Neodiprion lecontei: one gene and its partners. The main gene of each other region encodes a partner of the protein of the gene in region 3 in a complex. Links are inferred from orthologs where the notes say so. Each region holds a gene or a part of one and is shown on either strand. Other genes may lie near its edges.

Region 1 (7,029 bases), on a different chromosome or scaffold from region 3:
GCCAGGCAGCCCATTCCACCGTATCCGACAATATTTGGGTACCAGGTGGCAGGTCGGACTCTTTGAAGAAGTGCTTAGCTCTCTCCGTCACGACAACTCTAACTTCCAAGTTTTGTTCCCAGAATTTTTCCGCTAGAGTAGGAAGCTTGATTGTCGCCACACTACCCGTGCAGCCTATGAGGATCTTTTTTCTCGTCGTACAAGACATATTTTCAATGTATTATCAAACCAGGGTATTGACATGAAACGAGAGTAAGGTATTATATCGCTGCGTACGACAGCCTGAATTAAAATTATACTTTCAAAGATAAAGAGGGTAGATACAAGAGCACCCTCTCTTAATTGTAGAGGAAGTAATTTCACGGCGATATATCGGTTACCCTCTGATTTATAGGCGAGCTAAGAGGCGGGGTTAAAGAGGTTATGTTTCCTTTTTGTTTTCGTCACCGAAACCCAGCTTTGACCATTCCTCTTTAGCCATAAGATTGTTGTCCATTCTACAGCCAAGGTAATCTCTAGCGACGTCTCTGCAGATTGTGTTGTTACCCTTGTTGTCTCTGAGGCAACGCATGTAGTCAACCATAACCCGCTTGCATTTGCCTTCGTGATCCAATGGAAAGCTACCCTTCTCGGGCGGCGTTGGGGTGAATATTTTTTGACCGAATGTAAACGACGACATCACGTCTTTACACGATTGTTATTACGCGAAACATCGACTCTTAACTCCTCGTCCTTATCACTACCATTGAGCAGACCTTAACCTCTGTATTAAATGTTGGTATAAAAGAAAATGAGCAAATCACCTCCGACTGCGTACATACGTAACGGTGGTCAATCCAAGGCAATCCAAGCTCCACAAAACTCACACACTAGCTATCTGCTCTATTTTACACGTGCTTCAACGCACGCACACGCCGTGCAACGAATGGTTGACGCAGTCCCCTGACACCACTGACACACGCTGCTAAAAGTGGTTCACAAAATGTCACTCGATTCTGCCGCCAATCTCCACCACTATTGGCGCTAGTAGTTGTCTGACAAGCTGTCAGAAGTCTTTTAGCGCCACGTAGAGGAACTAACAAACGGGGACAAAACGCGTACAATTTTTTAGTATACGAGCAGTGCTGTGTGTCAGGGACCTGGTGTGACGTCGGAACGGTACCTAGTGGAAATCTCCAGATGTTAGACACCGGAAACATTCACACGCAGCTACAGCCAGACTCACATCAGTAGTTTGGGTCACCAATTACCGATTAAGTATTGAAATACACCGGACAACGGGCATTCTGTCGCTCTAGTCGAACGAACCGAAGAGGGAGAAATTGTTGGATAAAAGATTTAATTTGGCTTACCTTTTTGAGAGTATTCTGGATGCGATGACTTGTAGATTGGTGAGAGGTCTTAGTGGAATAACTGACTTTAATATTTGGATATTTTGACTAACTTGGTTTATTTTATAAGTTTGATATTTAAAAGTCACAAACGCAGAGTTACACAGTGTAAGATCTTAGACTTAGTAAAAATGGAGTTGAAGCTCGCTGAACTTTTGGGCAGAGTAACGTTGTATGAAAGTTTTAATGCAAAAGGCTAAAGGATTTTACCGCGAGACTGTACCGGAACTAGATGACGAATCTGGAGGTAGAAACACAAGAGAGCGATCGAGTGATCGGTCGCCGTTTTTATAGGGGTCGATCGTTGCGCAGAACGATCCCCCTCTCTAGTTTTTTGGTCGCCTTTGCGCACCTCCCCTCTTTTCTAGGAATTCTAATTAGGGCACGACATCTTCGCCGCATGCACGCCTGTGATCTTAGTTCTTTAGCTATTACTATATTGTAGGTTTTTACGTATGGTATATCGCTGCTTGGTGCGGTGGTGTAGGTGCGTGGACTTTGTTCCGTAGTTCTCTGAACTGCGTGAGCTTTTCGTTGAGGCGCCAGCCCCCTTTGTGGCGCCAGCCCCCTTTGTGGCGCCAGCCCCCTTTGTGGCGCCAGCCCCTTTGTGGCGCCCGTCAGCCACTTAACTACCTGTCTACCTCTGAATGTTTTTGCTATCTTGCTCGTTACAAAGCCCATATTTCATTTTGGTTACCTGTCGTTTGTTAGTTTTATAGTTATATCTATATAGAATTGTATATGTATTATAGTCGACTACTGTCGTTGTTAGTTTTATAGTTGTATCTATATAGAATTGCATATGTATTAAAGTCGACTACTGTCGTTGTTAATCTGGAGTACAATAGCAATTGTTTATGAACATAGTTTGTTATTTGTTTAGCATTATTAGAATCACGCTGCTGCGAATATCTTTAGTTGTTTGTGTTATAACTATCTTAACAGATTTAGGGTACTTAGTAATTTGATGATTCATAGCTTTAGAGCAGGTTTACATGTGTGCTTTTGTATATGATTCCCTTCTGTAGTTGTTAATTCTTATATTGATATAAATCGGCTTGGAAGCTTCTAGAACGTTTTCGTTTCGTCGGTAAGTTTCCTAATGTATTCTCTAGGTGAAGCTCTGTTGGCTCCACATTGGAGATCTGCATTGCCTTCAAAACGTTGCGCGTGTTGCCTACAATACGGCGTTGCGAAAGAAGGTATAGTTCATGCTGGGTAATTAGCATTCACGGTTTGATGGTTTTGCAGTCTCTGGTTTTATGGGTTATTGCAGCAGTGCTATCTTTACATTATATTGGTTATGCATTTATCTATGGTTTTACAGTCTTCTATACTCCAGGCTATATAGTAAAGCGTATGTTGCTTAAGTATAGCTCTCAGCTCCGAATGCACAAATGGCATTGTTGAGTGCTATATAATAATTGGGTATAATTGTGTTAGTTAATTATAGTGTTAATATGATAGTGATATATAATAACGTATAATAGTATTATAGTTCTCTGTGGTACGAAGATCTCGTAACATGGTTTTTAAGCCTTGGCTAGTGAATTTCATAGTTATTTCCATCTAGGGATATTCCAAATAGTTAGACAGTTGTTTTAATTTCTTATGGTTACAAGATTCTCGTACTTCGAGTTTGGTTAGTTGATAAAAGTAACATGCAGTAATAATAGTCGATAAAACATACGGACGTTCCGGTCGGACGTTACACTGGGTTGACACAACTCTCTGCATTCGCTATTTCTCGTGTCAAGTATCACCATCTATGAGTATTACACGCTATTCGTCGATGACTACCGAACTTTGCCTCTAGAGGCGGTAGTGGGGAGGAACCAAAGTAGGTGTGTTCGTCACACACGGAATGCACGTGGTAAAACCACCGTTACAACAAGCACATGGATCTAAATATCGGAACGCACTCGGTGCTGTCGTCAGTCGGATCTAGCAGAATAGGCCAATGAAATTAGTCAGTGTCGTGTTTTGTCAGAAAATTGACGTAAAAGGCAAGCGCTCATTAACTTAGGCCGGTATTCATAGTCAGTGCTTAAGACCGGACTCGAATAAGACGGTCTTATACGAGGCCTTAAGATGGCGTTTGGTTCCATAGACGTCAAACAAGACGGTCTTGAGACGCGGCAAATAAGACGGTCTTCATCAAGTCGGTCTTATTTGAAGCGTGCTTACAAGGTTGCATAGTCCAGTCTTATTTGAAATAAGCATGGTCTTGAGCACGCAACGTTTCATAGTCAATTAACGCAGTCTTATTTACGTATCTTGGGCCGGTATTCATAGTCAGTGCTTAAGACCGGACTCGAATAAGACGGTCTTATACGAGGCCTTAAGATGGCGTTTGGTTCCATAGACGTCAAACAAGACGGTCTTGAGACGCGGCAAATAAGACGGTCTTCATCAAGTCGGTCTTATTCGAAGCGTGCTTACAAGGTTGCATAGTCCAGTCTTATTTGAAATAAGCATGGTCTTGAGCACGCAACGTTTCATAGTCAATTAACGCAGTCTTATTTACGTATCTTGATCAAGTCGAGTTCGGACTGCACTTAAGCAAATGCTTGTTGCCTAAATATTACTCAATTGTTCTGATGCGTACGAAATTGATAATTACGAATTGTTTGGAAAATATTATATTCGAACAATATAAATTAACAGGAATAGATTGTGAAGGAATGTTTGGGAAAGTGCAGCTGGGACGGGATTATTTACTGTAAAAGGGTAGCAACGGAAACTTGCAATTGAAGTAGAGGTTATGAGAGCATTCGCTTTGAAAAATTTGTGAAGTGAAGTGAATAGTGAAATTCTACTGACATGGCGAATATGCAAGATATGTTTAATTTCTACGATCAGATCGAAGAAATGAATAATATGATTGTTCAATGGTCAACGTTGGGCCGAATGACGAAGACGAGGGTGAAGTACAGCGAGCTCCGAAGAGATACATCAGAGATGGTCAAAACCCGTTCGAGTTTTATTCCGAGCAGGAGTTCAAACGGCGATTCCGATTTTCAAAGGATGGTATTATGTACGGAATACTACCTAGAATTGAAGCTGCCTTAGTCAGTGCCAATAATCGTGGTCTACCAATTCCACCTGTCATGCAATTATTAATATGTCTACGATTTTACGCTACCGCTAGCTTTCAAGTAAGGATCATTGTGATTATAATTCCTGATATTCTACTGAAAATATAAAGTGATTTCATTGCTTCCTGTGATCATGGAATAAATGATTGCTAATACATTTTGTACTGTACAGCTCGTCAACGGAGATCTGATGACTATATCGCAGTCTACAGTATCGAGGATAATACACAGAGTATCGGCTCAAATTGCATCATTGATTCACGCAATTATCAAATTTCCTAGTACGGAAGCTGCTATGATCGCAAACAGAGATCTATTCAGACAACTTGGTGCACGCAGGGAGGGTATCGGTTTACCTGGCGTTGATGGCGCTATCGACTGCACTCACATTCGATTATGTCATACGAAATTTGCAGACCTGCAGGAGGTTTATAGGAATCGTAAGGGATATTTTTCCCTCAATGTACAGGTATGTCGCGTTGGTGATAACCGTTTACAAATACCATAAGTTGCAATTAATTTTATCTAGGATACAAATAAACAATACTATTCTATGAAAATCGGTACTTTTAATTTAAATGATACCACAGGCAGTTGTCGGACCCAATATGGAATTCTTGGATGTGGTTCCGGAATGGCCTGGAAGTAACCATGACAGTCAAATATTCCAAAATTCACGAATTTACATGCGGTATCATGAGAGACAACTTACTGGAACCCTGGTTGGAGATGCCGGCTATCCGTGCTTGCCATTTCTGCTGACTCCACTGGCAAATCCAATTACAGATGCTCAACAAAGGTAAGATAAAGATTATCGCATTACTTTAGATTTCGATAAGTAGTCATAAAATTGACAAAGTATACATGTGTGAATTAACCAAGTCGGTATCTTGATAGGTATAACAACGTACAAAGCAGAACAAGGCAAATTGTTGAAAGAACATTTGGAGTTTGGAAGCGACGTTTTCCTTGCCTATCCCGAGGTTTGGGAACCAAATTGTTGTGCTCTACCACAATTGTTGTAGCTTGTGCCGTACTACACAATTTATCACTAACATTGGATAATGCTCTTCCGGAAGATAATCGCATCGAGGAAGAAGAAGCGGATGAATTGCCACTTCAAGCACCGCATTGGCAGCCTGGAGAGGGTTTTGCAATACGCGAAGCTCTAATCGAACGGTTATTCATTTAATCAAAATATATGTATATCAAGTTAATTTAATTGTAAAGACTAATTGATTTTAGAATGAATATACTCCAAATATTTAATAAAATTGAATTTAATCTGTACAAACAGTTAACATTAGAATACATATTTTACTCATAACTTATCATTGGTTCTCATTTTATTTTTAAACCCCTCACTTACTCATGAAAATACTGATATGTACGTAATTGTACTAAGCGTCAGTCTTATAGTTACGATAATACTTATGAAAATTTGTCTACGTAAAAATATTCAGTACATTATAAATACAGCCAGTAAATAGAACTAAAGTTGCTCTTTTGAACTTTGAAGATCAAAGGTTGTCCCTTTCACGCGCATTTTTTTGCAAGTCTGCACCGGGATTCCTTTTAACATATCAATACAATTTATTTATCAGTAACCGGTATAGAGATTTACATAATGATATAGGTTAAAATATGTGTATATAAAAATTATATACACATAAACATACACTATAAAATTCTTTTTCTTCTTCTTCGTTTTATAGCTATACACCCACTACAAAAAATTGTATGCGATTTGTTCCCGTTTTTTAGTTCCTCTACGTGGCGCTAACGTTGTTGTGTTCATAAACTATAAAAATACTCAAGAGCTGCATGCCTATACGAATATCTTGCACAGGCTGAGAAATAAAATCCGAGCATCTTATTGGGGGATACATCGGAAATATTCCGAACATAACCGAACGTCGAATAAGACCGTCTCAAGCTCAGTCTTCGTCAAGACGGTCTTGAATGAAATAAGCTAGCGCTTGAGACCAAATTCTTGACGAAGACCGTCTTGTTTTCCGACTATGAATACATAGCATCTCAAGACGGTCTTGAACGAATAAGACGATCTTCACCAAGACGGTCTTAAGCACCGCCTTGAGACCTGACTATGAATACGGGCCTTGGTCAAGTCGAGTTCGGACTGCACTTAAGCAAATGCTTGTTGCCTAAATATTACTCGATTGTTCTGATGCGTACGAAATTGATAATTACGAATTGTTTGGAAAATATTATATTCGAACAATATAAATTAACAGGAATAGATTGTGAAGGAATGTTTGGGAAAGTGCAGCTGGGACGGGATTATTTACTGTAAAAGGGTAGCAACGGAAACTTGCAATTGAAATAGAGGTTATGAGAGCATTCGCTTTGAAAAATTTGTGAAGTGAAGTGAATAGTGAAATTCTATTGACATGGCGAATATGCAAGATATGTTTAATTTCTACGATCAGATCGAAGAAATGAATAATATGATTGAGGTGGTTGCAATGGTCAACGTTGGGCCGAATGACGAAGACGAGGGTGAAGTACAGCGAGCTCCG
Region 2 (6,056 bases), on a different chromosome or scaffold from region 3:
GAGTCCGGCTTCGCTGAAGAAGACGCCGCCGCCTGTTTCTTGATCCGGCGTTTAACCCCCAAATTCCGAAGATCGTTTGACAGTATCTGGTAAACCTTCTCCTTGTCCAACACGTCGTAAACAAACATATTTACCGTCTGGGCGAGGATCGGATAGCGCCAGATCCTCCAAACGGGTGTTCTTTATTCATAAAACTCAACTTCAATTTGACAATATAAAGTATAACAACTTGTTTGTAACAACGCGATTTGAATTATCGAAGTTTATTGTTGCCGGTTACGTATACGCATGTATATGATGTTTATCATTGTTTTCCAACCGCCTTGCCTCATGGTCGCTATGCAGTTCGTTGCGGAACGCAAAAAACTCGTTGCGTTCTGTAGAGGGGATAAATCTACTGATCGCTGCTGCGGGTGCGTTCCGAAACTAACCCTAGTGCTGTGAACCATCTTTTATTTCTTTTGCGTTGCCGAGTTCATGGGTAAACACTCAGTGGATAATTCCTGCGACCAGATGGCGTGCGGGTAATTTAGAGAGTTTCTGTTCAAAATTCTATAGAGTATGCATATGTATATGCATATACACGTGGGAAATACCACCAAACCACCACACTTAATCGATACATTTTTGACACCTTCGTTCATAACAGAAAAAGACTTGGACTCGCGTAATTTAAGACTGGTTTAGTGTTGGGTTAACACAGAGAGAAAAGCACGAGCCGTGCTCGAATGAAATGTTCGCATGAACAAAGAAGCCCTGGTCAATAATTGGGTGCTATACGATTCAAAGTCTAATAACAGTAAATGGCACCATCTAAGGAAAAATGGGTACGAAGGTTCCTTATCAATGAGACTTCGCGTCACAGGAAAGGATTTACCGTGTACAAAGTTACATCAGTGGTCGGTACATATACTATTATTAATTTTAAGTCTACTCGAACAACAGTCTCTCCTTTAGCTGCTCGTCTACTTTCAGATATATCCTAAATCAGCCCCAGAGGCTGTGTCCAGAGTTTCGGTTTGGAAGCGATACAGCGACTTTAGGAAGTTGTACCTGGAGCTGAGCAGCCGTCATGACACTTTGAGGATCAAAGAGGCCTTCCCACCTTTCCCAAAGCCCAAGTTCTTTGGCCGTTTTGAGGCGGAAGTTATTGAGGAGCGACGACAATGTGCAATCAGACTTCTGGAGTTTGTAGCAAGGCACACTCCACTTTTTACAAGCAATGTAGTTGTCAAGTTCTTCGAGTCTGGACATGCCAGAGACTATCTAACCGACTGCTCGGCATCCATCGGCTCCGATACCTCTGAAGAGGACCCAAACTTGAACTCCGCTCTCAGAGGCACCAGCTACGTTCCAACCACTGTGCAGAATACTCAGTTTCCGACTTCAAATGGCAGAACGATCATACTAGCCAACAATGATATTGAGACGAGTGATAATGTTTCCCAGAGCTTATCTGTGAACAATAACTGCATTGACGAAATTGGCGTGGTCAGTGAGAATGGCGTCAACATAAGTGGGACAAAGCCAATCAATAATAAGAATGACGAAGAAAAACTTGAGAGGCAATCGCCAACCTGTGACAGGTATGATGCCCCTAAATTCACAGCTTCGCTTCAAGCTTCGAATGGCTTTTCAGTCCATGATGGATCTGACTTACCTGAGGGTGCCGCTGAAGACTTGAGCAGTTATATTCTAGTATCAGCTACCCACATGAGCGCAGCTTTCAGACACGAGGCTGTGTGTGAATACGAGGAAGCATTCACGCTGTATAAATTGGGCATAGCAAACCTACTCAATGGTGTTCAATCTGACCCTGATTACGGGCGCAGAGCCACGATCAGAGACAAGATATCCAAGTATTTGGAGAAGGCAGAGAGGCTTTACAACAGGCATCTGAACTGCAACGTAGGCATGCTTTCCAAGCCTACTAGTGAATTGGGAAATTATAAAGTATTACGTGTTATAGGCTCGGTCATGCTGGTCAGAGACACTTTGCGTGATTGCAATAGAGTTATAAAGGTAAAGCTCTCTGTGTTATTCGTCATTTTGAAAAATAAATAAGAACTAGCTTTGATCTGGGCAGCGATGTTTCAATTAGTAATTCTCTTTCCAGACAGTCCAAAAGCCAGCTGGGTGCCTTGGGAGTCTCCGCGATTACATTCTGCGTGGCAAAATCCCATTCATGGTACGGCTTTACGCATGCATAGAAACGGATTCGACGATATTTCTTGTCCTGCACTATGCGAGGTGAGTGGAAACTGGATATGACTTTGCTGATTTTGATGATGCGACTCAGCTCTTACATTTCAGTGGAGGAAAGCTCTGGGAGTATATCAAGTCGTACTACAAGGGCCGCAACACAGTCTCTAATTGGAGAGAGAAAGGGCATACAAGGTCAGTGAGTTGCGACGCTATTATTCAGTCGAGTCTGGAAAAGAAGAAGCTAGGAGTTAAGGAAAGACTGTTACCGAAAATTGACGGACTTGCTGAGGTTTCGAAAGACAGAGCTTGTGGCAGCAGAGAAAATCTCGATCCGCAAGAAGAGGAGACGATCGATCCTGATGAATCGCTCAGAAGATTAGAGGCAAAATTTGGAGCCAATGCTGCGCCTGTTAAAACATTTCAAACCACGGACTTACTCGCTAAAGCCCAAGAACTTCTGCGATTGGTTGACGCCACTCTGAAGAAAAGCAATTCAATAGCCAGCAGGTTGAATGAATCTGGCACTTTACTGTACAGTGAAGATAAGCCGGATCATTCTCGAAATTTAGCTCACGGTGGGGAGTTTCAGGCCCTAAATGTAACAGAAATCGATAAACTCAGTCAAGGTAACAGCATAGATGGTGTTCACGGTATTGGATCTGGAAATATAGATCTGAAAGCAAAAAATGAAAGATCAGACGAAGCTTTGGCAAATTCTAAGTCTAATTTTGTTAAGAACTTCAAAGTTGAGGACGAGTTAGTGAAAGAATCGTCAAAACTCAATGGCTCTCATAGAGTGATTGAGGAAACTATGAATTCTGGCCAATTGCAATCGATCGTTAACGAGGACAGCGGTATTGAAATGGATGACGAACTCTGGAAGCTTCCCGAAGGAACCATCCGATATTGGGCAGCTGAAATACTCCTGGCACTGGAATCTCTGCACCAGCAGGGTGTCATAGTCGGAAATTTAAAACCAGATAATATATTATTAGGCAGCGGAGGCCATGTCGCGATGACTTACATTGTCCCAAAACGAAGCTTCGAACTCTTGCAGCTAAAGAAGCCCTACTCCGCCCCTGAACTTTGTATCTTCTCACCAACAATTCCACCCTCCACTGCTGCCGATGTTTGGAGCTACGGAGTCCTGCTCTACGAGCTCTTCACTGGAATTGTATGTCCAATTATCATAGTTTAAATTGATATTCGTTGAGTTTATGTTTTCTGTTTTCAGAAATTCCAAACTAAACATCCTGGACCATATCACTCGCATTCTATTCTCAACATTCCTGAAGAACTATCAGCGAACGTGAAATCATTGATCTCTAATGTGAGTTTGAAGAGTTTAAATACTTAATTAGTTCTCAAAATAAATGAAGCAGTGCATTCAAGTCAATGAATTCCTTTGTATATGATTGTCTTACTCTCCTTGTTCAGGTATTGCGATACAAGCCAGAGGAACGTTTATCTATTCCCGAAATCAAAGAGTCTTCATTCTTCTCTGGTATTGATTGGACCGCCTGGGCTAACTCTAGTTTTACTTAGTCGTAATATACCTATTTTTTTCCTTCTACAGTACGCCATATCATGTATTTGTCAATCTCCAGTCAGTGTATAACTAGTTCAAAAATAACGAACAAAATAATATTTATCACAATCGACATAATTAAAAGTATATAATATGTATTCTACTTCAAATTTTGAACCATCCCGCCGATAGATAAAATAACATAACAAATGGAAAGGCACGTGGGGCACGTGTTGTCTTTTTACGAAAAATCCCTAGCACTTCGTGGTGACTCTGATGCTTTTCGTTGCCTGATGTTGGTGCCTTTTAGCGCGTGTCCACTTCATCAGATTCCACGTATGTCAGTTGGATCAGTTGTGTGGTTATTCTTCAATCGCTGCAACGGACAATTTGCGACAACAAAAAATAGTGAAAGAAACAATATAAATAATAACTCGTTGCGGGTAAACGAAGAGATAATTGAAAATGGTCTCCGTTCTAAACACGGTGGACACGGGCCACGAGGACATGATACACGATGCCGAAATGGACTATTACGGATTGAGGTTAGCTACCTGCTCAAGTGACAATTCGGTGAAAATATTCGATCTGAAGAACGGCACGCAAACCCTCGCTGCAGATTTGAAAGGCCACGTCGGTCCTGTTTGGCAAGTTGCCTGGGCTCATCCGAAGTTCGGCAACATCTTGGCATCTTGCAGTTACGACAGGTAAATTTGGTGATCTCAATACTTTTGCTCCACGGTTTTCCGACCTTATGCAAAAATAAGCAAAATCTAAACTGTACTTATCTCGCGTTAGGAAAGTCATAATTTGGAAGGAGCTTGGTGAGTGGACCAAGATATATGAACATGCGTCCCACGACTCGTCTGTGAACTCCGTTGCATGGGCGCCGCACGAGTTCGGACTAATATTAGCATGCGGCAGCTCTGACGGCTCGATCTCCATACTTTCTAACAATGGTGACACCTGGGATGCCCAGAAAATTCCAAACGCACACACCATCGGGTGCAATGCGGTCAGTTGGTGCCCAGCCATTGAACCTGGATACGACGCTACCGCGCCTCACCCTCGCAGTGGACCTGTTAAGCGACTTGCGACTGGAGGATGCGATAATTTGGTCAAAATATGGAGGGAGGATAACGAAAGATGGATCGAGGAAAATAAACTCGAGGCTCACAGCGACTGGGTAAGTAATAACTCGTTTCAAGTATCACCAAATTTGGACATCTGGTCTCTTCCCTTTGTCTAGGGCAAGAAAAGAATTTTCATTACTTTTTCTATTCCCAGTGAAACATTTGTGTCCAGAGGCTAATCACCTATTCGCAATCGTGATCGATTTGAAATCATGTAAGATCAATAGAAAAGAGTTGAATTCATATCAGAAATTATTCAGCATTAGCAAAACAAAGATGCTGTAGATAAAATTAGTGGATTCACCAGCCATTTTCTTTTCCTTGCAACATTAAATTAGGTCAGAGATGTGGCCTGGGCGCCAGCAGTTGGACCACCGAGAGCGGCACTGGCTTCCTGTTCTCAGGATCGCAGGGTGGTGGTGTGGACGTCGACAGATTGCACAAGTTGGACGTCGACTGTCCTGAACGTGTTTGAGGACGTTATATGGAACGTCAGTTGGTCTCTGACTGGTGGGATTCTGGCAGTGAGCGGAGGTGACAACAAAGTATCTCTGTGGCGTGAAAATTCCGAAGGCCAATGGGCATGCATTTCGGAGCTCAATAAGGGTCAGGGAAATTTGAACAATCCAGAACAACGAGCATTGTGAAATTAGCATAATAGAACTGAAGAGAAAAATCAGATTATCATTATTATTGTGTATAAAACGTATTTTCCTCTTCCTCTCTTTTTCTTTCGCTTTTTGTGCAAAGGGGAAAAAAAAAAAAAAAAAAAAACGAAACTTGACTTTATAACTACAAACTGTACTATAGGCGGTGAACTTTTTTAAAAAGTTTATTAAATTTTTTTTTCAATCGATTCTTCCAATAATTTAATAAATCCTTGATTTACACTCGTAAAACGCAGATGCAAATCGAACATTAGTTTGCGATTTCTCTGCAATTTTGGCGGACACCCAATATTTAATTTATAACTTGCAGTAAACAGACAATCGATATTTACAAATTTGACAGAAATCGATCGTTTTTCAAAATGTAAAAACAACCACAAATAAAAAAAACATTTGTACACAGGTGCGAGCAGCAAAAGCAATACGAACAAAGACGTGTCGCACATTGGGGGGAAAAAAAGATAAAGAAACGGGCAATATGTGTCTGCTGCCGATTGGAGATTGTAGAAAATTGTGAAAAAA
Region 3 (9,848 bases):
GAATTTTGTGGCTTAATCATCTGCACTAAATAGATATGGACACGTTTGGTGGCATTTATATCAATGTAATCTAAATGTGTTCTACACGATTTGCAAACTTGAGAACTCTAGTATTCAAGTTTTCAGAAAGTTTTTTATTTGTGTTTTCATACAAAAGTCACAAACCAAATATCTACATCAATGAAACACTTCAGCAAAGTTATTGTTTAAATTGTATGACTGCATCTGCTTCATGCTTACAAGTCTTGAGACAGAGTATCTCTTGCGCATTTTCAGGTATTTTTCGACCTAATGCGCGAGATAAGGTCTCGCAAGATCGAAGATAAATCTGCAAGTAATGGCCGTGGAAAGGATCGTGCCAAGAGAAAGAAAAAGATGTGCATTATTCTATAGGTTGGCAATCTCCTCTCGCACTTTTATTCTCCTCATATGGTATTTTCATACTATAAACAGTGCATCAGTCTTCCCCTCTGCATAAACTTACCTACTCACAACTAAAATCTATTGGTACATGTATCGCAATCCAACTACAGCATACATGCTTATTTATTTTGGAAACGTTTTTTGAAACTTTCAAAAACTTACTATATAATATGATATAAAAGTTCAACATAATATTTCTGTAATGGTTCATACGCATAAAAATTTTGATGTTACCTTGTTGCGATGCCATATTGCTTACTTCCGTTTTTTTATTGAATTCAGCTCAACGTATCTTTCCATGTACTGATGCAAATGTAATAGTCTATTATTTAATGTCTGTAGCTGATTTGTAAATTTCTTTTACCTTTGTTAAATTTTTATTTAGTTTTGCTTAAAATTAATGTTCAAAAAGTACAGCTTTTGTAAATGGAATGCTTCTTAATGTTAGAAAGTTGAATTTAATAGCTGCTTAACTTTGATCCAAAGTGATAATATTATTTATTTACATGTGTCAAACTTTAATTCAAGCAACATAATTCTTAAATTTACCAACTTATCTGCCAGACAGAAATATCACCTGACTTTCAAATAATTCTTACCATTTAAATTACTTAAAACTTGTCTACACAATACCATTTTTGTTTGGTAGTTTATAAAATTGAAAGAATGATAATTCCAGGTATTCTTTGACCTAATGCGAGCAATAGCTGCACGCAAGGCTCAAGAAAATCAGGGTGAGGGGGGTGAACGGAAGAAGAAACCAAGTTGCTGCATATTACTTTAACATATTCAAAAACGATCATAATTTGAAATCATTGCTGCGTATCTCTTAGCGAGGTATAATAATATAAATAGCTCCTTTGTTCCATGGCATGAAGATATTTCACATTTCTTCAAAAAGGGATAATAATCATTTGGCCCTGACATCTGCTTATACCATTTCAAATGAATATTTGATGCAATTCGTGCAGCTGTAATTTTTACACTCATTAGTGGCTGTAATGTTTTCAACAATACATGATAAATGCCCAGTCGTAACAAACTAATTTAAATGTACACCTATATGTATATGCACAAGAAATGTGCAATGCTTGTGCCCTCTATTCTGATGAATTTGGTACAAAGTAATTTGCAATTATAGGAACCTCACACTATTTCCACTGCTCATATTTGAACATGCAAATATTTTTGCATCATTTTTGTACATGTGTAATACCTACTCGTCATTTGATTCCATTGCATCGTCATTATACTCGACTGGCAAGTTGCAAATTATGTCATTTGTATATCTAATGCAAGCATGCTTGTATATTATATAATTACCGTAATTTAATTTTAATTTTTCATTTCGTTACAAAAAAAAAAAAATTCAATAAAATTGATTTCCGTTCAAAGCTGACAAAATTTTTAATGGTGAATATAAACGTGTAGCAATAAGTATTGTGAATTTGTAGACGTACTTCAAAAATAGTTTTCCGTTTATTTTCGGAAAGAAAATGCATTTTCAATTAATTATTTGAACGCAAGTATAACGGAAATCTTGTAATCAATAAAGTGAACACAACATTAAAAGTATTATATTTTCCCAGTGACATAAGCTGTATAAATTCTTTTTACGTTAAATGCAATACATAAATAGCGTTGAAAATTATTTTCATACTTTTGTACTTTTCCAACCGGTAAATGTGCCTTTTCTTCAATATTCTAAATTAGTTGAATTGAATATCAGACTATCTCTATAATAACGTCAAGTTTTCTGATTAATAATATTAGCTCCCTGGTTTCGTAGTATGTGAACGATCTTATTTACTGTTAAATCGAGTTTTAGAGAACTAACTGGTCTAAAATTAACGATCTTTCCTAGTATAAGTTCTTGTACCTATAACACAATAACAGTGATTCAAAATTGTTGCTACACTTGGTAAATATAAATTTTGATTTCTTTTGTGCAATTAATTTGTTCTTACTGAAAATTCTAATAATGCGACAACTCATTTGTGTAAGTTTCAGCGTATCCGAATTCAATTACTGTACAGATACTGTTGATACGTATATAACAAAATTTTCAGATTTAAAAGTTATCAATTGGACATTGTACGATTGTTTTTTGTAATACTTAATACTTTATATCACACCTCAGTTTGCAATTTACTCACTCGATAAACGTCGTGAAAAATTGTAATATAATTTATAATTCTGTACCTTTAATATGAATACACGATTGAAAGAATCCTGTCATGGACTTTCAAAGCATATTACAATCATTGCAAGTCCTTCATCCATGATTTATCCACTATGTATTTTGAATTTCTTCAGAAATGACATATCACAACATAACAGATCAAATAAGAAGTTTCGTATGACTTTTATACATAAAAATATGAAGTAAGTACGGACATTATGTTTTGTACTTCATCTTCTCTTACTGCTTGGTTTTGCTACTAGCCTATTTGCTTTACATATTTACAGTAGTTGAAACTATGACAAAAGTATGTACATTATTCATATAAAACACAATAATTGCATATAAGGAAACAATCCTAATTTTGTATTTGTAATGCATGTGTTGGGTCCTCGAGACCTTAGATTCTTTTCCCACACTCTTTTAGTCACCTTATACCCTGCATCCTCTTCTTATCATCACCTCACTGTCTCACTTTGCATACCGCATCAGCAGAATGCCCCCTCTACTCCTGCACTGCAACTAGCCCAGTCCTTTGCATCCTTCACCCCATATACAGACTCTCAAGTCGTCATTCATTCGGATATCTTAAAAACCTCTCTTCCATTTTTTCTCCCTCACGTCTTCTTATTGCACTCTCAATATCTTTGACAATAAATCAATTATACACTCAAACATTCAACTCCTCAATGTAACTTCTTCTCATTTCCTCTAATTCTTCGTACGTGCGCCCAGTCGACGGGTTATGAACTCATACTAGGCCATAATAACATCGCAGCTGGGTGTCGATGCGGTCATCGATAACTGCTCATCGTGATCACTATCATCCACCCCATGACATATGAATAACTTTGGTCGGTCACTGACGAATTATTAGTAAACTTTAAAATTTAGCGATTTGAAAATCATGATTCTATTGACATTTCAATACACTCAGCACAACACTATATGTTACTGGTAGTATAAGATACATGGAAAGATTTTGTGAAGATTTTCAAAAAACATTTCATTTATAGGTACATCATTTCTCCATGCAGTCTCTTTTTCCATTGATAATAATCAAAAACGTGGGATTAACCATAGTCAAATATAAAGACCTATTCATTTGTACATTTTGTCTAATTTTTACTGTTAATATTGTTAATGATTTATAAAAATACTTGTCACGACTAACCGTGTCTATTCGACAAGTTGAAACATTGCATAATTGTGTAATGACCTCTGAAATATAATCAATTCTTAATGGGTTGAGTAGAAAAAAAAAGGAGCTGTGTGGTCTGTTGATACGTACTTAAAACTTACTCTTGGCACGAGGAAAGCGCAGGATATTGTATGTGTCTTCACTAGCAGCAGGGTTCTTACTTCAAATTACAATTATTGATTTACCAAACCATTACCTTGAGTGTGGTGAAATAAATCTTAAATTTCAGGGTAAAAAGTAAAAAGATGAGCATGTTTGCTGCATTTGGATCATAAATAACTGTGTAAATGTCGAATACTCGTTGTCAGTGACTAGAAGGTATCACTTTGATACGACATAACATTGTGCGATTCAAAGATAATTATGAGCGTGATCGGAGTTACTATGCTGTACTTGCCTCATAATAATTATCTTACTTATCGAAAAAGTTACATTAAATACTCCTTTCAGTAAGTAATTGCATCCCTAAATTAGGTACTGTAATACCTTCACTGGTAGCCAATAGAGAGCCGAAGTTTTGCAGTTAAGTAAACTCGCAAATGTGGCCACAGCCTGTTGGACATTGACGATTACTCTCGAACCATTCGTTCATATGAATTACATGTCCCCCGTGAGCACAACCTTGACACCATGCATACACACCGCGCACAACCTGAAAGGCCTTATTTGAATCATTTGGAACATTTGTTGCAGTTAAAACACTGCTTAATGTGAAGCAGCTATGTTATGACTGATAAAAATACAATACAAGTTACACTCACTTGATGACAAATCGAACAGAGAGCATGTCTTGAAGTATGACATCGATCACATAACCACGCTGACCTCTGAAGAGGCTTGGTACACGTTGTGCAGCATGCATGTATTGTTGTTGATTGCTGATTTAATTGAGACACAGACGGCATCCAGGCTAGCTGTATAATCTATGGATCAATATTGTTCAGTGTTTGTTCAACCACCTCATTGGCTCTCAAAATATTTTAATAACTTTTAACTTACCTGAGTAGCAATTTCCCATAATTTAAATCTACCTAGCATGTCGATATATTCGAGTAACCAATGCTCTTGAGTTGCTGCCTCGATGTTCAAACTTTTTCTTCGTTCTCCAAGAGCAATTAATATCGACGCTGATGTCTGAACATCCAAAATTGCTGCATGATGTCTCAACGCTTCTTCAATTAGCTGTGTTGGATCCCAAAATAATGGCTTGGGAACGGCAGTCACTATCAATTCACAAGGTTGATCCTCTACTGTGACTGATCCAGAATCATTGTCATTCATATCTGGAGAATGATTGGGAAATTGTTCAGGAGGTGGGGATCTATCCTGTATTTCGTGTCGCAAAGGAAATGCTTCTTTAGGTAATGTCCAATCATTTTCATGATTCATGAGATTGTGTATATAACCAGATGTGTAGTCCATTGTTATTGGTTCGAGTTCACCATCTCCAAAGAAGAAATCACCTTTTGGTTGACATTTGTGTCCAGCCAGGTATCGCCTGTGACTTTAAAAACAATTTGAATTGATAAGTTACACATTCTCAATAAAAAATTGCACAGATATTAATTTCATACTGAAAAGTTATATTTGCAAAGTACCTGGGAAGTATGGGGCCAATAAAATTTTGATTCTCAGTCATTTCATCAGTCTCAGTCTCATCGTCGCCACCACTAATCACACCAGGCGCTTCACCTTGCAGTGATTTGACATCATTTTCATGACCTGAATAGTGGTATTATTATTATTATTAAGCTAAACGCATAAGTAGGTTGAAAAAGCTCAACAACTTATTCCATGCATTAAGTTCTACATACATGTTTAAGAGATTTGCAGTATTTTACTTAATATGGTAATCACAGCAATGTTGGTCATACCTATATTTGTCTGATCAACTGTTGATCCAATGCCAATTTGTGCAAGGTTCAGAGTGTTGACAGTATCATCTTTCGAAACATTTGGCGACGATTTCAACATATTTCCAAGTGGATTTGCATACAGTGTTTTCGTTATACTCCATACTGTACTTATCTATAACAATTTTTTCTTTATGATCTATAGAATGGCGTTCAAATAATGTTTACTGCTTACTTGTAATGTTTTAACCCGTTTGTACCTAAGTATGAATGGTGGAAGGACATATTTGCTTATTTATACGCACATCATTTCTGCCTGCAGTAATGGCAACTGCTGCATTATGATCACAAATATCATTAAGTCTACCGCTGAGTAAGTATCCTTCAGCACATTCCCTAAACCACTTAGGTTCTCGTGGCGCAGTTTCCGTGAATCTGTGCATCATACTAGAGGCCATACAGAAGGTGTCATTACTCGCTGGAGATTTCCTATGAACAATGAAATAATGTAGTAAAATTATTAAAAATGCCGTCTAATTGCGGCAATTAGCACAAGCACAAGAAATACCTCATGATGCTAGTTAACTGTTTAACAGTAGTTGGTGCGTTCACACTGATTTTGCAAGCATATGCCACATCACCCTTGCAGTTGAGTGCAATACCTTGAGGATTTGCTTTGCTTGCCGGTCTAGTTGCATCTTTAAACACGTGATGATATAATGTACAATCCTAGGAAACAAAACTTGTGAATTTTCGGTCTGGAACATTTTATTCATTTTGGCACTGGAAATACGTACCCTGCTTGTTGATAAAAAGTACTGAGGATCTCCTCTCCAGGCAACACCAGTTGGAACATCTTTATGCTCGTTAAAACTAGCAAACGGTATATAAGGCCTTCTAATATCCCATACATTAATGCTGCAGTCTACGACCAAGGCGCAGCTTGCGATGTGATACTTTCTTTGAGGTCGCCATTTTATTCTACCCACAGATGCAATTGTATGGATTGTATATTCACATGTGGGTTTAGCTGATATGTCCCAAACCTGAAGTATACAAATTTTAATCTCTGTTCTTCTATATAAGTACTAAAAAAATCCCTGTAGTATATTCCCATAACCATCTATACCTTAATTGTTTTATCACGTGAGGCAGTAGCTAGCCACGAGGCTTCAGGGTGCCAATCACAAGCAAAAATTGGCCCACTGTGTGCTGTGAAATGCTGGAAGCATCGGTCGGGTTTCCTCAAGTCCCATTGCTGAACATGACCATTTTCCGAAACAGCTGCAAATGTGTATTGTTGATGCGGTGAAAACTGCACATCTCGCACAGATTCTGTGTTGCTATAAGAGTGAACAAATCAATGAATTTACAAGTAAATGAACAAGACACAGATTGACTCTTAACTTCACTGGAGTATAAACCTTTGCAAGAGCAATTTGGATAGTATTTCCATATGGCTCGCTATACCTGTAAAATGTTTTAGTAGCCTCCTTAATTCTGAGATCAAAACATTTCATAGTTCCGTCTTGAGAGCCTGATATTAACCACATAGGCTCAGTCATGTGAAAGCTCACTTTATTCACAGTTCTTTTATGATCAATAAACACGTGTTCCTGCTTTGACCGAGAAGGTCGATTCAGGTTCCATACCACCACAGCACCATTGGTGGCTGCGGTTGCCAATATGTGATCTAAAAAAGACATTTAATCATTCTTTTATAGCATGAATTATGAGGTGTATGCCAATCCAGGATTTTAATTAGAAAATAATACCGATAATTAAGGAAACAGAGGATTTTCCAAACCAAGTATTGCTGCATCACTAAAAATATTTCGTATATTATTTACCATCGATTAAATTCCAAGCAACATCATTGCATGAAAAATTCAGATTAAGATTCTTCCCAACTCTCAGATTGCAGACTTCTTCAAACTTGTCTTCAAGTAGGGCGAATATTTTGAAGACTAAGGGAGAAAATCGATAATAAATCTTTAATAAACCAGTAAATTGTATTGAAAATTAATAAAACAGCTTAGTCGTATGGAAGGATTTGAAAAAGGTTGTCCTACCATTGCGTCCAGCGATCACAACTTGAGTATTATCCTTATTTAGGGCTAAGGCATTTGCCGGTCCCTCCTGCGTAACGAATACCGTTTTTGATGTCATGTTAACAACAGTGAGCTCCAAATTTTATCAACAATTGTCTCGATTTCTTCACGCGGTATCCCCTAATTCAGGTTGGACTATACAACTATTATCAAACGTCAGGGTAATACCGCATTCTGTGAATTACACATTTTACAAACACGTGGTACGCCTGCTAGAAGTAAGATCACGAATTGTTTGATTGATTGTTTTCATACAATGAAATACGCACATCATTCGTCATTGTGACACACAGTATTTATGCGACAATATAAACGTTATAACCATATAGAAGTGATTTATGAATTCTTTCTCCCCGATCTTTATGATTTTACGACGAGCACATTCGCAGTAATTACAGTAGTGTCATTAAACTAAAAATGATTTTTGGCGAGTATAGTGTAATGCATCCTCATTGGTACAATTGACGGGTGGTAAAATGTTTATTTATTATTATTGTTCTTCAGAGAGTGTTTTTTAAAAAAATGGCCGTGTCATCAACGCCCCGTGATCGTAGCATCTATATATGTATTTCGAAGCCGTGATTACAGCATTTGTATAGTCGATCCTGGGTTTTCGTTCTTTGCGGTGTGCACTTTTCAGCGATTCTTGACATAACGTGGAGTTAGTAATTCGCAAGTAAAAACGAAAAAATGGCAAAAGCGCAAGACCAGGAGCTGAAAAAAGCGTTTTCCGAACTACAACAGAAGATAATTGATACGACACAGAAATTAAAGCTCGCAGACGTACAAATTGATTCGTTAAAACGAACAAAGCAGCATGCCGAGCTCACGGTTAAGGAGGTAACCTCACTTCCACCAAACACGAAAACCTACGAGAGTGTGGGTCGAATGTTCTTGCTAGACGACATCGCGAGCGTAAAAGAAGGGCTTGAGAAACGGATGAAAACGGCCGACGAGAAGATCAAAACTCTAGAAAACAATAAAGCGTTCTTGGAGCGTAGCTTAAAGGATAACGCAAATAACGTTAGAGAAATGGTCCAGCAACGACAAAGCAACGAATCCTCTGGTTGATACAGCAGTTTCACATCTTTACTTGCTTTTACTCTTCTGTCGAAGTTGTACCCTTATTCAAGCAATATCGCATCTATCAGTTGTAACTCTAATTTAACATCATTATTATTTGTGTGCTTTCGATAAATGTAATCCATAAAATAAACCTATCATGTTTACATATTACCTTCATTCGTTTTACCTTACGTAGTTACTGGTTATTTAATAATGTAGGGACGTTACTTATTTGTCCTGGTGACAGTTACTGTTGTGCATATCCTTTGTAAGAATGAGTAAGTCACCTCTATGGTGCAATAATTGCTTATCCTATTTAGCCAGACTTCATCTCTCAAATTATACAAATTTAAAATTTCCGAACTTTTTCCTAGTGACCACATGTGAGAATGATCATTAAAATGTTCTTATAATTAATAAGACATGGGGTATAATTGATTTCAGCAAATCATTTTACAATTATCATTAATTTATTCCAGCGACAGGAATGTTACATACAACAGACTGTCTTCCTTACGGCTAATTTTTTTTTTTGTTTTTTCCTTTTTAAATTTAATCCACTTAGTTATCTTAAACTGATTCCGTGAACCTCAACATTTTTTCTTCATTTAAACTACACTTAAAAATCTACATGTGCCAAAACTTGGCGCTTCAACTGATTTATTGTATTTAAAAAAGAAATAATGTTATGAAACGTTTGTTTTTTCTTTCATTCTCCTTTTTTCCTCCTCAGAGTAAAAAAGATTGGAATTTTATAGATTGGCAATTTTTTAAAAATTTTCTCTAGTGTTAATCACTCTTCGTTTGTATGCAGTTATTCGTTAATTTCGTAATATTATATCACATATCATACTGGAATAACACAGGGAACAAGATTGGCCTTGCAATTGCTCACAATTATTTGTATTGCTGTTGAGTATTTCTAAATGGATACGAATTTGATGAAAATACAATAACAAAGCAATTAGTTAAAAATGATTAATTCACTCCAATCTGCAGATTTATTTCGAACT
Region 4 (8,060 bases), on a different chromosome or scaffold from region 3:
AACAACCTTGGCTCCGCAGTCTGCTGAACGTGAGAGGCAATAACCAATGAAAATGGGATCTGCTACCTTGACTAAAATATTATCTACGGAATGCGCGTGAACAGAACGTATGCTCCGCTTATCCATGTCTTGCAGTATTCCTTGTACTTTCAAGGCCCTGTACAGTCCCCCATTTCCATCTGGCGCTCTGGCAAGCCGATGTTTTTCGTCCAAGATTATTTTACCGTCAAAATTAAAGCACGGCAGCATACCCTGCTCAAACATAAGGACATTGTCTTCTTTCAGGCCGAAATAATTGTTTGCTTTGAAGTAATCTCTGGTGGTTTTGGTTGTTGCCTCGCTGGTCAGTATGTACCAAGTTATCGAACCTTTTTTCTTATGTCTTTCCTCAGCCAAATTTTCTAGCCGACGTATCCGCTCCGCTTGTAATTGAAACAAACTCTTACCAGATGGCAGACCGACGTTGAACATTCCCTTAGGATAACTCACACCCAGGCGGGTTCCTTGTCCTCCTGCCATCAAGAGTACAGCGGTACGTCCATCAGCTATTTCTCTGAGACCCAAATCGTGATATTTTTGAGTTTCCGCAAATGTAGAATTCTGCAGTGAGGCACTCACTTCGCTGGGTATCGGGCGTAGTTTGGCATCTAATTTTACTTGATCGTTGCTCAAAGATGCAACGGCACTTTTAAAATAGGATGAAATCTCTTTCAGATTTTGTTCCTCGATATCCCGAATGAGTAGTAATTTTTGATCGTCACTAATTTCATCCCAAAATTGTAACAGATGGTCTTGATTAAACTCCCGTAATTTATATAATAATTTTTCAACGTCCGTTGCCATCGCGATTGATTTTATGCCTTGATTTACTTAACTGCACACAGCTGGGTATTGTTTTCAATATTCATTCGTTAATTATAGACAACCTGGGCCGGTAAAAGTCTCAAATATTACATTAGGTGAAAGTCTACGTGTGACAAATGATACGAGTGACAGGCGTTTGAATAGCTGACATTTCAACATGCACAATACGCCGACTTAACCCTACCCAAACCCGCCTGCGCCCACCTCCCATGTGATAGGTAGTTAACATTTGATTGGACCAAGGTGCTTTCGAAATAATGTTCTCTGCTTATTTACATTCACAATTAGACCCCTCTTTCCATATCGGAGAAATGAAAGGGATGTCGAAACACCGACAGGTTATCTTACCTGCGGGAGTTGTGCGCGTGGCAGGCAATGAGACCCGGCATATCTTTGGGTAAATGACGTCACTACTGCAGATCAGCGGCACAAGATTATGAATTCTGGCGCGAAACATTCCTCAAAACCTGCGCACTGTCCATATTAATATTGTAATTATCTTTATAAAATTTCGCCATTTGGATTGATTCTCAGTGAAGATAGAAAAAAAAAAAAAAAAAATGTGACTGTAAGAACTGCTACTTCGATTTAGCAGTGAAAGCATTTGGCACGTTGGAATTGAACATTCGTGCTCAATTATTCGGTCAGTGGTGCATTGTTACAACTAAATTCCTACCGTTATTTTGATATCGTTATCTTCCGTTTACGTTACTTGAAGTCTAAAGCGTTTGACGTAAAATGAGATATGATATGAGATGGAACTGAACTTCAAAGTTAATAATAAAGTAACTTTATGTCGTGCGTTAAATCGTGAGGTATTTTAAATAGTAATTAACACGTATAATTTGAAAGTAGCACTTATATTAAAACACTCTTAGCATTGTACCTGTTCAAACTGAAGGTAAAACGCATACGGCATAAATGTGTCAAAATAAATATGAATTTTTTTACGGAAGATACAACATTACCAGCCAGTCTCTGCAAGGTATAATAAACCTCCGCATTTTTCATCTCGATTAACAATGACCAAAATTTGATTAGCAATCGAAATGAGAATAGAAAAGTGCAATTGCAGGATCCTCTGTTTCACAAGTTATGAGAACGTCTCTGAATTTGTCCAATATTTGTAACAATTGCGATCTTCGAATATTTTCAAGATACATAATTTCCTCGAGATGATGACCGCCTTTTAGATACCCAAGTCTACATAATTTATCTAGTAAAATCATATCCTCCGAAGGAATTGAGAAACCATCTGATTGATACTCAAAAATTCCACTTGTCCCACGTAAGGCAGGAGAAGCCCCGGTATCGCTTTCTCCTGGTGTACCGGCAGATGCGTCAGTGCCTTCCCAGCTGTGTTGATTTTTCATAGACTCGTTTGGCCCAGAATCATCTTCTGTTATGCTTGTCTGCAAGATAGAATCGAATACTCATCTCTTTATTTCGCAAGTGATTCAGGTGTTTATCACTTTTTCAAAGTTCATATATTACCACTTTTTGGCAACCATGCAGCGTTGGCATATATTGAATGTAAGTATGCAGCTGAAGTAACAAATGATTTCTCAATAACCAAATTATTATTTTCACTAATTGAGTCTGTTGTTGTGGTTGGCTCAGAGGGTTCAATTTTTGACTAATGGATGTCGGTAAAGAAAAATCACTGATCACCTATGAACAAACAGAAATATTCAAGTTTGTTATGTATGACAGAGTAAATAACAGAAAATTATACGTGTCCAAAAGCTAGTTTAAGAAGCAAAGGTCAATGTTTTATCGCTTACATGCAGAATCTGTTTCTTTTCGTTAAATCTAACTCGTCTTAATAATGGAGATGCGAAAGGATATCTCAATAAGATTTTTAGAAACTTCGGAATCCTCTACCGTAAATACTTTTTTTTTGCATTACCATTACATGTTTGTAATGTATTCTGTGACAATACCTGTAGTAGACACAATCCTGGAAATTGTTCTGAAAATGCATCCAATAATTGAGCTGTGAGGACAGCATCTGGAGCTACGACATATACGTTGCTTTCACACAAGGGATAGATAATAGTAGCCTTTGCCCAATACACTAAATGTCCAGTCAGTTGGAATACCTTGGCAAAGGTGATACTTGTTAGTAATTAAAAAAACTACTATGTAAACATTATCAAACCCTGAATGTAGTGAAAAAGAAATCCCATTGAATATGCACCTAATCCTCAATATTCATTCAATTGTTTCAGTAATTGATACAGTATTATTGAGAAATATTTTTGAAAAAAGGCAGAAGTATTTTCAATCAAAATTATCATTATGGCTCACCTGTGCCAAGCTGAGATCTGAATCTGCAGCTAATGTTTGAAGACTTTTGAGTGGGCTGTACATTTGTATAAGACGTACTAGCGCTGGAGCCGAGTCAGCAGGAAGCGAATCTAACAAATCTAAAGGCTCTATCAAAAGTAGTAAGCCATGATACGGTCGTAAACTTTCGAGGCATCTGAAGTAAATAATTTCATTTAAAACGCGAATGATTTGATTATTAGTAGTACTGCGATGTCACAGAATTTAGTTATCATAATTTATCGTAATATGATAATAATTCACAATCATTCATTGCTGAAAATTATTTACAAATTATTTGCAGAGAATTAAATGATGATGATCATAATGAATTACCTGTCAATTATTTCTGGGTTCATAATGAATCCTTTTTTGTGAGATTGATGAACTTTTTGAGGTAGACAAAAGCTAACTTGTATCCATTTATTAACCATGATATTTATTACCCCTGATGTACTCAGGCTATTGAAAACGGACTTCAAATCTCGAGCAAGAGAACTTCTTTGCAATATAAGTTCATAAGGGGATTCATCAGATTCACTTTCCTCTTCTGATCTGGATCGTATATTCAATTATAACATCCGTGTACAAATTACATCTAAGAGTATGACAATTTATAAAAAGTGGAAGTAGAAAATTACCGAGCAGCTACTTCGTCATGAGTGGAAACCATCACTTTTATTTCGTCAGTAAGAAATCCGCATCTCTTTTCCTCATGTCTCAAAGCTATTCCCAGTCTGTATAATGGAACATCCAAAAAATATGATGGTTTTTTAAAATAAAAGAAATATATAAGCTATTAACTACTGGTGATGAATCATGTTCAAAATCGAATTGATAAGTCACTAAGGTAATTGTAGGTTTCAGTAGATGTTTGAAGATACAAATAATTTATCCTCAAAGTTACCTTTTACTGAGATCGTAATAACACTTAACAACAGAGTGATTCGCTTGAGCCTGCAAAGCGAATACTATGTTGAAGAGCATGGATGAATTGACATCTTTTAGTCCCCTAGAAGGAAGCAATGTAGGGTGTCCAACAAAGCGTACATTGTTGACTTTTAGTTCGAACTTTAATTCACAAAGCTCGGGTTTAACAGCAAAGAGGGTGGACAAAACTTCGTCAGATAAGCCAGTAAGATTGCCATTGCTTATATTGGATGTTGGAAATGGTGTCGACTGAAAATTATTTAAATAATGAAAAATAAACATGCGCCAGATAATAATTATACTCCACATTGATTACGGTCATTTTGTTAATTACTCCTACCAAATTTACAGCTTCATAAAAAATTGATCAATTGTTAAATATTTTTGCAACATCATATGTAATGCGATCAAAGTAATGTGAAACGAAATAAGAATTCCACTTGCTCACTCAACAAATAAAAATGGTAAAGTTAAGGTAAAAATCAAGGCAATTAAAGAGCATGCGAACATACATTTGAGTAAGCACTGCTTAATACAGTAAAGAAGGGGCATTGGTGTTTAAACAAGAGTACAGTATGGAAGAATTTTCATCAAAAAGTAAGAAAAGTGAGAAAAAAAAGATAGAAATAAAAATATAGTAATACTTGAATTAATAGGAGGTAAATAAGGGACAATGACCAAATAAAATCTTTATAGTTTTGTATAACTCCTCTTACATTGTAGACATATCGTATGAAACATACTGTATGAAAATTGATTATAATTTACATGAAAATAAAGCAACAGAGTCGTGGTCTTATCAAAGATGATATTGGTATAAGACTTGTTTGCGATAGTTTGGGATTTTCCAGTGCAGTAATATTAAAGAATAAATATGAGGAATATACTTGTAATAAATCCTCACTGATTGTTAACGCATAAGGATTCTTCCTCTTTGTAAACTGTTTGGAATCTCTCTCAAGATTAGCGGCGTGAGGATATCTGAATAACATTCGATCGCCCTTACTGTCACTCTTCACTAGAATAACGCTTAATGGATTAATCTCCATTTCCTTGTTTCTCGATGAGCTTATGAGTGAACTCAAAAAGCTCAATCCAACTAACCAATGCTCCGAGATGCCAGAGAAGTTATGAGAGATTGGTTACAGACTCTTGGTATTATCTTAAAATCATAACTTAAATCAGGAATCGGGTTACATGGCAAAAACGCGTATAGACCACTTGCAAGGTTTCTTGAATTTGAATTCGACAAATAAAAACTAACGATCCAAATTTTCTGTCATTATGTCAAACCTCGGATTGACGAGAGACTGTTACCAACCCAATAATACTTACCTAACATAACCCTAACCCTAACCTAACTTTAACTCTAATACAACGAGCTGTCATGCCTTCCACGCGCTGTTTAACGACGCACTTTCTATATCGCAGACAAGGATGAAAATAAAATCAATACTTCAAGTAACAATTCCCGAGGTCCGCTGCGCTTTACATCTTTCAAACCATCCTGGACGAGGTGTGAAATTTGTTAGGTTATGGCCTGGGGCTGGGAAGAATTACTTTATTTCTAGTTTAATTCACGCAGGTAGGTGAAAATTACTGCATCGGGCAATTGGATAAATGCACAGTGGCCTGCGTTCGGTCGTTCAGAACTTAGAAAATGAAATCAAATAATTATATCCGCAATTCGATTCGCAAATCGTATCAACCAATGAAACGGTCTGCTTTGACAGCATTTGACAGCTTACTGAAGCAAGGTATCAGATGCTTTCTGTTTCTGCTAACACTTTGCGAATATTAACTGGAGAAGAATTCAGATAATTCGTAAGTTTGAATAATACATATGCGAATCTGATATGCTGACACTGCGATTACTCATCTTACATTCAATACTTTATCAATCCTCTTCTTCAACATTTGAATAATAATTGTAAATGAGAAACCATCATTCTGTAATTCAAGACTTCTATGTCAACTCATCACTATCTATCTTGTATCATGTTTTAGACATATTATCCAACAATTAGTATAGCATACTATGTTTAGAAGCTGGTGTCATAAACTTTCAATTCTTCTAAGATATTCATGATTAAGTATTCTTAGTAACTGACGACGCAGAACGAAAATTGCAAAATTTTATACCTTCGCAAAAATCCACCCTATACCGATGATTACAGTAAATTACAATAAAGTAATGTTATCATTCATTTTCAAATCAATAGATCTAATATTTTTATTGTTATTATACCAATTAAAAGTGTTCGTTTTTTGTTTTTAATATTTATAAGTTGTTGAAATTATTCGGTTCCTAATTGTGTTTCAAAAAACAACTAAAAGTATGGTACAAGATGGAAAAACGAAGTCACATGAATTTTTGCACGACATTATAACTAAAATAAAAGTAGATCAATATTTCGTATCAGACTTTTTCATTTTATATGTTACACGACACTGCTCAATATATTAATAACTCTATTACGCCTTACAGTTCGTTCAACATCGTTATTTGCAAGAACCATTATGAAAAATCTAAAAATATTCATTACTTCTATGCCTGCTTACCAATTTAATAAGTTGACTCAATTCTTGGAAATGTGCAAGACGATTGTTAGAAATCTATGACCGGCATTGGAATGTGAGAGAAGAAAACTTTGTATAATAGATTTCAGAATAATTGTCCCAATTGTTCATGCATTATCAACATTAAATTCAGTTTCAAAATACCATCTTTAAGAAATGACCTTTGCTGTAATAAAAGTAGGTTACTTAAAGAGTGACTTTATTTTTAAACATTCTGAACATAAACATGAATGTTGGTAATGATTTGCAAAGTGTTCATAAACCTATAACACATTATGGTGGATAGTAAAAGTGTTGAAATGGTAAAGCATTCAAGTTTGATATCGTACATGCATTTTGCTAAGGTATTCTAGAGCCCTAGAGTTTACAGATTCAAAGTAGAAAACGATTTCTATTTTAGATTAACGGGACCATATATTGAAACGAATTTTCAACATGTTTGAAGGAGCAGTTGCAGCACTTCTGAACCGTTTTCTAGGAAATTATGTCGAAGATCTAGATACCGAAAATTTCAATGTAGGCATATTTTCTGGTGATGCATACCTTACAGATTTGAAGCTGAAAACAGAAGCCCTTGTACGTAGAGACAGATATTTATACTTCAATAAAATATTCTTGTGAATATTTTAACAAACATATCTGTTTAGCTATTACTTCGTTAAAGACTCGCAAATTTTTAATTTTAGTATCAACTTGGGCTTCCAATAAAAATAAAAATCGGATTAATTGGAAAAATTAGTCTGAAGATACCTTGGACTGGTCTTACTTCACAGCCAGTTATTGTCAGCATTGAGGTATGATATACATCTACCTTCATGATGACTTTCCGAAATGTACTCACAACTGGAAAATTATTTCAGGATATATATATAATAGCAGTTCCTGCCTTAGGAGATGTATATGATCCTGAAATTGAAAAGCGTCTGATCAGGGCAGCGAAGAAAAAAATATTAGAGGACCTAGATGAGGATTACTTTCTTGGATACGGTATAACACTGCCATTAGCTAATGATAACTTTAGATCAGAATTTCCTCATAAAAGAAATTTGCATTTTTCTTAGGAATAACTTCTAGTCTGCTCGACAGCTTGGTGACATCTGTTATTAACAATTTTCAAATCACCATCAATAATGTCCACGTCAGATATGAGGACAGTTTTACACAAACAATACCCGTTGCCTGTGGCCTATGCATTCAGAGTCTATCAGTGACTACCACTAACAAGTAATAATATAACTAAACAATCACACCACGTTTGTTTATGCATGTAATTTAATCTTTAGACCTGGAAAAATTTCACCAACCAATTCTGCTTTGTGTTTTCAAGTGCAAAACTTACTTTGCTTCAAAAACAACCA

The links.
Region 1: GATOR complex protein WDR24 (region 3) and GATOR complex protein NPRL2 share a complex: the UniProt entries of both Drosophila melanogaster proteins name them as parts of the GATOR complex. The link is inferred for Neodiprion lecontei from reciprocal best matches to the Drosophila melanogaster genes Wdr24 and Nprl2.
Region 2: GATOR complex protein WDR24 (region 3) and protein SEC13 homolog share a complex: the UniProt entries of both Drosophila melanogaster proteins name them as parts of the GATOR complex. The link is inferred for Neodiprion lecontei from reciprocal best matches to the Drosophila melanogaster genes Wdr24 and Sec13.
Region 4: GATOR complex protein WDR24 (region 3) and GATOR complex protein NPRL3 share a complex: the UniProt entries of both Drosophila melanogaster proteins name them as parts of the GATOR complex. The link is inferred for Neodiprion lecontei from reciprocal best matches to the Drosophila melanogaster genes Wdr24 and Nprl3.

The regions. Positions count from the first base shown.
Region 1 is NC_060264.1:241,485-248,513, forward strand, and holds the start of GATOR complex protein NPRL2, read left to right. Parts: upstream 1-3,235; 5' UTR 3,236-3,360; intron 3,361-3,438; exon of another isoform or gene 3,439-4,282; coding exon of another isoform or gene 4,283-4,549; intron 4,550-4,661; coding exon of another isoform or gene 4,662-4,958; intron 4,959-5,079; coding exon of another isoform or gene 5,080-5,288; intron 5,289-5,386; coding exon of another isoform or gene 5,387-5,681; exon of another isoform or gene 5,682-6,061; intron 6,062-6,606; exon of another isoform or gene 6,607-6,900; coding exon of another isoform or gene 6,901-7,029. Other genes in the region: phosphopantothenoylcysteine decarboxylase, read right to left, coding at 1-208; cytochrome c oxidase assembly protein COX19, read right to left, coding at 422-679; putative nuclease HARBI1, read left to right, coding at 4,283-4,549, 4,662-4,958, 5,080-5,288, 5,387-5,681; putative nuclease HARBI1, read left to right, coding at 6,901-7,029. UniProt on the Drosophila melanogaster protein: An essential component of the GATOR subcomplex GATOR1 which functions as an inhibitor of the amino acid-sensing branch of the TORC1 signaling pathway.
Region 2 is NC_060266.1:1,254,107-1,260,162, reverse strand, and holds protein SEC13 homolog, read left to right. Parts: upstream 1-4,044; 5' UTR 4,045-4,198; coding exon 4,199-4,440; intron 4,441-4,531; coding exon 4,532-4,919; intron 4,920-5,204; coding exon 5,205-5,513; 3' UTR 5,514-5,556; downstream 5,557-6,056. Other genes in the region: rho GTPase-activating protein 21, read right to left, coding at 1-128; ribosomal protein S6 kinase delta-1, read left to right, coding at 742-903, 976-2,022, 2,117-2,250, 2,314-3,379, 3,440-3,535, 3,643-3,750. UniProt on the Drosophila melanogaster protein: Functions as a component of the nuclear pore complex (NPC) and the COPII coat. At the endoplasmic reticulum, SEC13 is involved in the biogenesis of COPII-coated vesicles.
Region 3 is NC_060261.1:40,149,358-40,159,205, reverse strand, and holds GATOR complex protein WDR24, read right to left. Parts: upstream 8,199-9,848; 5' UTR 7,829-8,198; coding exon 7,732-7,828; intron 7,627-7,731; coding exon 7,510-7,626; intron 7,353-7,509; coding exon 7,130-7,352; intron 7,003-7,129; coding exon 6,789-7,002; intron 6,706-6,788; coding exon 6,457-6,705; intron 6,389-6,456; coding exon 6,228-6,388; intron 6,149-6,227; coding exon 5,965-6,148; intron 5,835-5,964; coding exon 5,681-5,834; intron 5,529-5,680; coding exon 5,405-5,528; intron 5,311-5,404; coding exon 4,806-5,310; intron 4,730-4,805; coding exon 4,568-4,729; intron 4,459-4,567; coding exon 4,330-4,458; 3' UTR 1,620-4,329; downstream 1-1,619. Other genes in the region: ras-related protein Ral-a, read left to right, coding at 277-393; prefoldin subunit 1, read left to right, coding at 8,461-8,841. UniProt on the Drosophila melanogaster protein: An essential component of the GATOR subcomplex GATOR2 which functions as an activator of the amino acid-sensing branch of the mTORC1 signaling pathway.
Region 4 is NC_060263.1:27,314,663-27,322,722, forward strand, and holds GATOR complex protein NPRL3, read right to left. Parts: upstream 5,451-8,060; 5' UTR 5,172-5,450; coding exon 5,010-5,171; intron 4,372-5,009; coding exon 4,100-4,371; intron 3,930-4,099; coding exon 3,834-3,929; intron 3,748-3,833; coding exon 3,529-3,747; intron 3,350-3,528; coding exon 3,175-3,349; intron 2,967-3,174; coding exon 2,808-2,966; intron 2,536-2,807; coding exon 2,359-2,535; intron 2,277-2,358; coding exon 1,902-2,276; 3' UTR 1,706-1,901; downstream 1-1,705. Other genes in the region: UDP-N-acetylhexosamine pyrophosphorylase, read right to left, coding at 1-843; vacuolar protein sorting-associated protein 13C, read left to right, coding at 7,138-7,278, 7,389-7,496, 7,563-7,689, 7,764-7,926. UniProt on the Drosophila melanogaster protein: An essential component of the GATOR subcomplex GATOR1 which functions as an inhibitor of the amino acid-sensing branch of the TORC1 signaling pathway.